Linked DNA regions of Nothobranchius furzeri. The protein of the gene in region 1 interacts with the protein of each later gene in a biochemical or structural test. Links are inferred from orthologs where the notes say so. Each region holds a gene or a part of one and is shown on either strand. Other genes may lie near its edges.

What was found.
Region 2: the proteins of raf1a (region 1) and phb form a complex in vitro, tested with the Homo sapiens proteins (2 studies listed by BioGRID). The link is inferred for Nothobranchius furzeri from reciprocal best matches to the Homo sapiens genes RAF1 and PHB1.

Annotation. Positions count from the first base shown.
Region 1 is NC_091755.1:58,343,068-58,347,181, reverse strand, and holds the start of raf1a (raf-1 proto-oncogene, serine/threonine kinase a), read right to left. Parts: upstream 2,838-4,114; 5' UTR 2,607-2,837; coding exon 2,355-2,606; intron 2,254-2,354; coding exon 2,141-2,253; intron 2,045-2,140; coding exon 1,942-2,044; intron 1,856-1,941; coding exon 1,698-1,855; intron 1,273-1,697; coding exon 1,183-1,272; intron 164-1,182; coding exon 10-163; intron 1-9. UniProt on the Homo sapiens protein: Serine/threonine-protein kinase that acts as a regulatory link between the membrane-associated Ras GTPases and the MAPK/ERK cascade, and this critical regulatory link functions as a switch determining cell fate decisions including proliferation, differentiation, apoptosis, survival and oncogenic transformation.
Region 2 is NC_091745.1:13,725,544-13,729,788, forward strand, and holds the start of phb (prohibitin 1), read right to left. Parts: upstream 2,832-4,245; 5' UTR 2,704-2,831; intron 2,195-2,703; 5' UTR 2,186-2,194; coding exon 2,101-2,185; intron 1,788-2,100; coding exon 1,626-1,787; intron 1-1,625.

The DNA.
Region 1 (4,114 bases):
ACTTGTTACCTCGATGGTGGTGCTGTCCACGGGCAGGGCGGTGCTGACCATGTGGACGTTGGGCGTGGAGGTGGAGCGCTGCCGTTGGGAGAGACCGCCGCCTGTGGGTTGGTACGATGTGGCGTAGTTGAAGGCGTGGGGGGTGGAATTTCGGTGGGCTGAGCTGTGACAGGATGACAATCGAGCCTTTAGCTAAAAACGACCAAACCAGCAGTGGATGCTTCTGTCGGCCACATCTTCGGGTGAGGGTGTGGGTGTGGGTGAGGTGGCCTCATTAACTCTCCTCAGTCAAGCACCCTTGTTTACGTTGGACTACTGCCACACATTCAGCACCAGAAGCCATTACATGCCTTAGCTGTGTGGTAAACAGCAAAGAGTGAAACTACATTGTTTAAGGGAAGTAGCTAGTGGGCTCGTATTTGTTACTGGTCTTCCTCTTTAGCCGTGTGTGGCTGAGCGGCTTTGTGTCCAGATCGGTTAAAGAGCACAAAACCTTCCAGCCAGATATGCTAATCCTACAGCAGCGCAAAGCCGCTCTCGGATCTGCAGAGAAATCGTCCAGAAGCGGCGCAGAGGAACCGGCTGTTTGTGTTTTTGAGCAGAACCTCGCCTTGGTGTTCTTCATGAGCAGTCCCGCTTTAGACAACAGGAATTAATATTCCTGTCGAGCATTTCGCATTTTTCTGCAAGGAACAACTTGCAGCGACAGCCAATTTAGCAACCCTGGGTGTTTTTTTTAAACCACTTTATCAGCCATCAAAACAACAGGCTGTTTTTCACACCCGGCGTTACATCATTCCTTCCACTGATAAGCTTCCCTGAAGCAAAGACAGCCTTTTAAACACATACAACACAATTAAAATATGATCCTAAAAAAGTCCAAACTTGACCACATGTGAGCCGAATAACATCTAATCTGTAATCTAGTCTACAACAGCTTGATGTTAATCTGGAGGTAATTAAACTTATAACAGTGCAAAAGTTCATTTATGTCAGTAATTCAACTTGAAACACCTGCAAAGGTTTTCCTGAGCCTTTAGATGGCCTCTCAGTCTAATCTGGATTACATAAATAAATGGACCATATTCTGAAGTATTGTTCCAGTTTCACCTGCATAATAAAACCTTGTTTTATCCTTCTGCAGAGGGTTTGTGATGAATAAGTAGAGAGAAGCAACGTCACCTTGGAAACCGTGACAGAGACTCTCTCATCCGTCGAGAGGTGAGCGGCGGCAGTGACGGGGTGCCGCTCTCCCCGGGGACCGGACACAACCTGCCGACAGAAACAAGAGACTAAAGTCCTGAGGAGGGTGTGTTTACAACAGAGCAGTGTGCAAATGACACTAATCTTTACAGAATTACTGTTCATCTACAGCCTGCATGCAAAATGAAACAAAACGGCCTTTTTGGCAGTGCCAGGATGCAAATGAGCACACCCCTATGCAAACTGGGATATCAGCAGAGCTTCCTTCTACTGTTCATCTTTGCAGAAAGTTTGGGTGAGCTCATTTCTAATATAAATCAAATTATAAAGCCCGAGGGAGATAAACGAACTGTGCGTGTGCTGACTTGCTTATTTTAATTGGTGTATTTTTTTGTAATTTGTTTGTTAAAAATGTTGTGCTTCACCATGTCACCATTTTCCCCCATTTAATCAAAAGTTGTTTTTATAATAAGAGACCCCTCTCAGATACTTACAGGAGCTGTCTGATGTTGCTCCAGTCCACACACATCGTGGGCACTTTGGTGCTACAGTGTTCGTGGAATTTGTAGCCACATGTTTGACAGCGGAAACCATTTAAAAGAAACTTCTGGCAAATATCGCAGAAGGCTAGCTTAAGATAGGTCTTCCGAGCCTGGAAATGACAGAAAGCATTTTGAACGTGTTGATTTAGCCGCTGGACGCGGAGGTGAGGGCGCTGCAGAGGACTTGGGTGCTTACAAAATTATGGGTCGTCAGCGGAACGTGATCTAAAACCTCGACCAGCAGCTCTTCCCCAATTAGAGAGGTGGAGTCAGTGTTCCAGTCCATCCGAGATTTTCTACTGGTTGGAAAACAAACCGTAGAAATAAAGGGGGAGAAACATAAGCATGTGATCTTCTTACTTCTGGTTACAATTGTCCAAAAACCCTGAACTCACCTTCTCTGACCTGGGTGCAGCTTGAAGACGGCGCAGCACTGAGGCTGCAGCCCTCGCACCTTCAGGGCTTTAATCAGACACGTGTACAAAGTCAAACCTGGTCGCACGTTTACCTGACACACGGGAAATTACAAATAATTATGATCTGAATTCAGAGGTCGCCGTGTTAAATGTGGAAACTCTAAACGCGTTTCCTAATGCAGAACTAACTCACCACCGTGCGTTGCTGGTTTGGGAGGTAGACACGGATTGTGCTACTAGCCTTCGAGTCTGGCACCTTGCTGTCATCTGAGGAGCGTCGCTGGTGGGGAAAGCCCTGGACCATAGTCGGGGAAAGGCAGGGACCCTCAAACGCAGAGTCCTTCATTCCAAAGCCGTTACTCAGGGTTCTCCACGCTCCTTGAAGGTGCTCCATCAGTAAAACTAAATACTCACAACAATCTATGCAGATCACAAAGGAACACATTGGATCTCATCCATCTCTGTGGGTGCATTCCTCATTTACTGGCTCTCTTAACTAGAACACAAAAGCTGCAGAAATGCATGTTTTGGGGCATACAGACACAATGTTTATGCTGACAATGAGAAACAGCATCTGCTGGCCTGGACACGGTTGATTAAAACACCAGGGGGGGAAAAGTGGCAAAACATGAGATTTGGGTTAGAGCGCTGTAAGGTTTAATCTCAAAACTTAATCTCACCTCCAGCAACCTTTAAATAGAGATCGCATGTGGGGATTGTGGCATAAAAACATATTAATTACTGAGAAAAGCCAGAAACACTGAGCTAATCCAAACTGCAGAGTTGTGTGTTTCTGCGGGTCTTTTTGTCTCGGCTGGAAGTTTATAACACGCAAAAAGAGTCGCGTGTGGCCTATATATGCTAATAAACCAGAAGAAGAAAACAATGAGCTGAGCTAAACTGACTATTTCATGCAAAATGTGTTTCCTGAAAACAAAAGGCCAGGCCATCAAATAAACCCACTCACCTGGATTGTTTCCATCACAAACTACTGAGCTTAATGTAAACAACCAAAAGGTTTTTGTTTATTCTTGACATTCACGTGTTTACCACCACCCTGCAGGTTTATACAGGAGGCTGCTGACCCTGAAGACACTCGTGTTGTTATCATGTCTGCTGTACTTGTGTTAATGCACATCTGCTGCAGACAGGCTAAACGCTGGAGATTTGTTGCAAACGCTTGATTCATCCCAAGCATGAGTTCAGTTTACAACAACGACATGGCTGCTTCATCAAACGTCCACATATGTGATTTTGACATGTAGCAGGTTAGCATGAATGCTGCTAGTGTGTAGCATTCAAACCAAACAAGGGACAAACAGCTATTTGGGATACTCGTGTGGGTTTTCTCGTGCTTTAAAATGATACGTTGAGGGTAGCAGCGAGTGTGTTTTTAAATAAAGCTCGACAGTTTCACCAAAAACAGCGAAGCAGCCAGCAGGCCCTCCCTGAAACAGCGAACTGAACTTCTGCTCGGTTTTTAATGGTTTAACCTGTATTTTGTGTTAATGTGTCTGAAAAAGAACCGGTTTTAACACTAAAAGTTCGGCTTTCAAGCGTGTATCAATAGTAGTGAAGTGCTAGGACCGGTAGATCGTACATGCTTACCAAGAGAAGTTCAAAAAGTTGTGCTCCGCCATAACTTTAGGAAAAAGTGGCGTCGGTGACATCATCATATCTGCAACGCATTCAAAGAAAAGTGGGAAAAAAGACCAAAAGCGAGTCCTCGACTAGTCCCAAACGCTCCTGTAAACGCAGAAAGTCAGTTCAGTTACTGTAAAACATAAAGGTCACAGGTGGCTCTTGGAAAAAATTCATCCAAAGCAACGGAAAACAAGGTTTTGTCTTCCGGACGTGACAAAAGCGAGAAATCCGTCGGTCCTTCAAAGTGACACGACGGTGGATTTTCTCCCTGATGCAGAAAAAACACTGAAAGTACAAGTCCGATGGGTT
Region 2 (4,245 bases), on another chromosome or scaffold:
AATAAGGTAGAAATAAGTTCCTCACGCTGATAAATAATAACTAATCTCTCTGAGGACACGGTGCTAGAGCACTCTCCTACAGCACCTTGACACGACTAAATACATATTATGTAACATTTTGTGAACATCAATTTATTTGCATTTATTTGTTATAAATGCCACTGTATAATTCTTGCTGTCAGTATATGCAAGATATTGGTATTTGGGTCTGTACTGGTTAGACTTAAATGAGTTAAACCAAGGTCTAGAGCCCTTGGGTCATAAACTATGAGCTGTAAGTATATTGGTCTTTTTATACTGGGAATCAGGAGTTATTTTAGTGATCATCTTGTTTCTTATTTTTGTCCTGATTGTGCCCTGAGCAATTTTATGACTGAATAAAAACAAATAAAATCAACATAAATTGAAAAATTGTCCTAAATAATCGTGATCTCAATTTCAGTCACCATAATCGTGATTATTATTTTTGCCATAATCGAGCAGCCCTAACCACAAAGCCAAATGCAATGATTAGGGCAGGATATTGACCTAGAGGTTTCCTGATGATGCATGAAATGGCCACTTAGAAATGGAGCAAGCTAGCAGAGGGCTGAGCCTGCCAACTCTAGAAACACACTGATTTTAGATTTATATCGATATAAACAATACAGAATCATCTTGTTTCTTGTTTGAAATTGATATTTTTTAAATACTGATTCATCACCTTGCCCTACTCCAATTCAAGGTGAATAATATGCTTCCTGGAGTTCCAAAAGAAGCTTCCTGGAGTTAGTGGGTTTGTATGTTCTAAATTCACCCATCATCTAGCAAACATGGGTGAGAACCTGACAAATAATGCTGGATTATTCAGTTGCTTTCTCACAGTAAACGTTACACAAAAGTACAGATCAGAAGTGTTTAGTAAAAAGCCAACCCTTGTTTTTATACACGGTTTCCCTGCACTAACATCAACTTTTAAAAAAGTTCCTGAAATACATAAACACAACGTCAACATACTAAAACCGCAACTCCAATGATGGCAGGATACCCCAGAAAAGCGCTACGCCCTCTGCTGTTCTGGAGAAGAATTGCTTGACAACACTGACACCAACAGAGAAGTACAAAAGGAAAATGTCTGTCTGAGCGAGCGCAAGTGCAAACTTGCTTACAGAAGTATAAACTAGGCTTTATAGGCCAGGGATAACCAATGCTGTCCCAGAGGTCTGTTTATCCAGCATGTTTTTAGTTGTATCACTGCTTCAACACACCTGATTTTAATCAGTGGGTGACTGACAGGCTTCTGCAGAGCTTCATGAGCTGCTGTAAAGGTGACTCAGCCATTGAATCTGGCATATTGGAGCAGAGAAACAACTAAAACACGCCAGACAGCAGACCTTGAGGCCCAGGATTCGTTATCCCTGATTTAGGCATATACTTAATCAACTCAGGTTGGTATCAGGGACAAAATATTTACAACCAGGACACCCCTATTGAATGGTATTTTTAAAGGCTCAAAAAAATCATACAAAAAATTTGAATAGTTTATTTTAAAAGATATCCAGTAATGGAGCCAAAAAGAGGTCATAACCAGACACTGCTTGGCAAACAAGCTCAAGGGCAGAGCCCACAAGTGCTTTAAGAGGTACCTTTGCTGCCTGTGATGACAGGTACATTGCGTGGACGGGATCTGCAATCAAAGATAATAGGCTTCTGAACCCAGGGGATGAGGAAGTGGGTTCCTTCACCAACGACTGCGTCTTGAACACCCCGGAACCTGTCAAATATGACAGCCTGGTGCCCTGCGTCAACTGCAGACAGAGTCAACTTACTGTAGCGTGCATATTTTCAAACCTTTGTCACAAAATACTTAAATGCAAAATATGATTCTCCCTTCAGATAACAATGCAGATTTTTATCAATAAAAATGTTGTAAAGTTTTATCATTTATTGAATGCAGGGATATCAGCACAAGTGACCACCATTCATCGCCAATGGTGATGCAATCTTATTTCTGCATGATCTAACAACACCATGCAGTAATCACGTTGCTTTTTAAACACTAAACCATCAAATCCTAAACTAAATAACATTCGTGTTAATGTGGAAGTGTTGACTACTCACCATTAAAGAGGGCGGAGTTCACAACACCTCCACCGATAGCGAGGGCAATCCCCAACTTCCCAATGGACTCAAATAACTTGGCCATGACAGCAACCTGCAGACAACGAAAAGCGTTTGAGACCTAAAACACCGACTTCACTCACTCATTGTACAATAAACAACTTAAGCCTAAACAAGGATCCTTGAAAGGCCCACTTTAATCCCTCTTCTCCAGGAACAACCTTGATAAGATTGTCACGGCTGAGTGGTAGCTAGCAACGAGTTAGCTTAGCAGCTAGCCGTGATCTGAGACAAAATAAATTCACATAATTCGTTCAGACTACACCGAGCACCTAATGTGACAGATTACGGAAGGGGAAGTGTTATTTTAAATATGTTAAAGAAATGTATGTGGATAAAACTAACAGCACGCTGCGTGATTAAACGCGTGTTAGCTCTAAAGAACATGATGCAGCCGGATAACTCGCGCTAGACAGATATCACGTTGTCACATTAATAGTTTGGTAGCACAAAGAGGAAAATATAAATGTATACCTCTTACTGTATCAACGCTTCTATACTGTATCAACGCTTCTAAACTAATGTATAACACATGTAACTCACCTCGGTTTCCGCTGTGACCTCCACCGGACACTACAGAGCGCATGAAATCCAATGCGCCTGCGCGCTTGCATGCCGCAACGAGTCATCTGATTGGACGAAACTCTGCCTCGCTGAATGAGAGTTCACAAGCGTTTCAATTTGAGAGAACGTTCAAGGCTGCCATCTACTGGTAGTTCATATGAGTGCTCCCCACTTCAAACTCACAAAATACAGGTGAACTGGATATATTAGAATATTAGAAAGTCCGTTTATTTCAGTTCTTAAACTTAGATGGAGATACAATTTAAATACTCTGGAACCATTTTGCAGGTATATTGAAATAATTAGCTGATTAGAGTGAGACACTTTTAGCCAAGACTATTGAACCTGAGATTTTGAATTTAGGGTTTTCATAAGTTGTAAGCCATAATCACAACAATGATAACAAATAAAGGCTTGAAATATCTTGCTTTGCATTTAATGAGTCTACTTTATACATTCGTTTTTCCTGTTGAGTTAGATTACTGAATTAAATGAACTTGTGCTTGATATCCATTTTTTTAGTTTCACCTGTAAATGACAATGAGATTAAAAAAATAACATTATGCTGGCAAAATCAATTTGCATTTCACCCAAAAACTCTTGCTGTGGGCAAGTCATTTATTTTGGTTTCTAGATTTTAGGAAGGGATTTCACAATACTGTTGGTTTTATACGGGGCCATTGCCGCTTCTTTCATATTGGTAGTTTGGTCCTGGCTTGGGCCAGATCTTTGGTCAGTATGCATTGTTGTTTAAATGTGATCATCAATAATTTGACCAACCTATTAGCTGATGTTGTCGAGCTAAACACAAAGTATTCAATCAAATTTCTTAGTGGTGAAATAAAAAGTTTCCATCCAACTGAAATAGCAATATGGTTATTAACTTCACTTTTAAAAATATTGAACCAGGTAAGTGATTTAAAAGGTTTGAATCTAAAGTTTTGAGCTATGTTCCTCCAACCTCTACACACTTTTCACTAGCTAGATTAAAGGAATATTTCACATAGAAGATTTTAGGAGTTTCTTTGAAAAAATTAAAGATCTGTAGGAAGACTGGAAGTTAAACATTATCTGTAGATTGTGCCTTTATCTAGATAAAAAGCAGAGCAATATGATTTAATTTAATTTAATTTTTAATTTTATTACATTATTCACCGTTTCACACACGTCCATGCCCGCCCCCTGGCGGAATGAAACCGTTACGACATCTGGTTAGTTTCACTTTTCTTCCTCTTCACGTAAAAAGTGACGGTCTTTGAATATTAGCGAGTAAACAGAAGCCAGCGTGAAACTCTGAAGGTCAGTAATGATTACAGTAGAATTAAATCTTCCCTTCACATATAATCGTGTTGGCTTTAGCGCTGCGGCGGACCAGACGTGCCTGATTTATTCACTTCCTTGATTCTCGTCTCAACAATGTGGCTTCTCTTCTCGCTCTCAGATAACATGGAGCTGTAAACCCTCGCCTTGTTCGGGCTTTTTTTTTCTCGTGTTTGAGCAACAAAGCCTTAGAATCGGCCT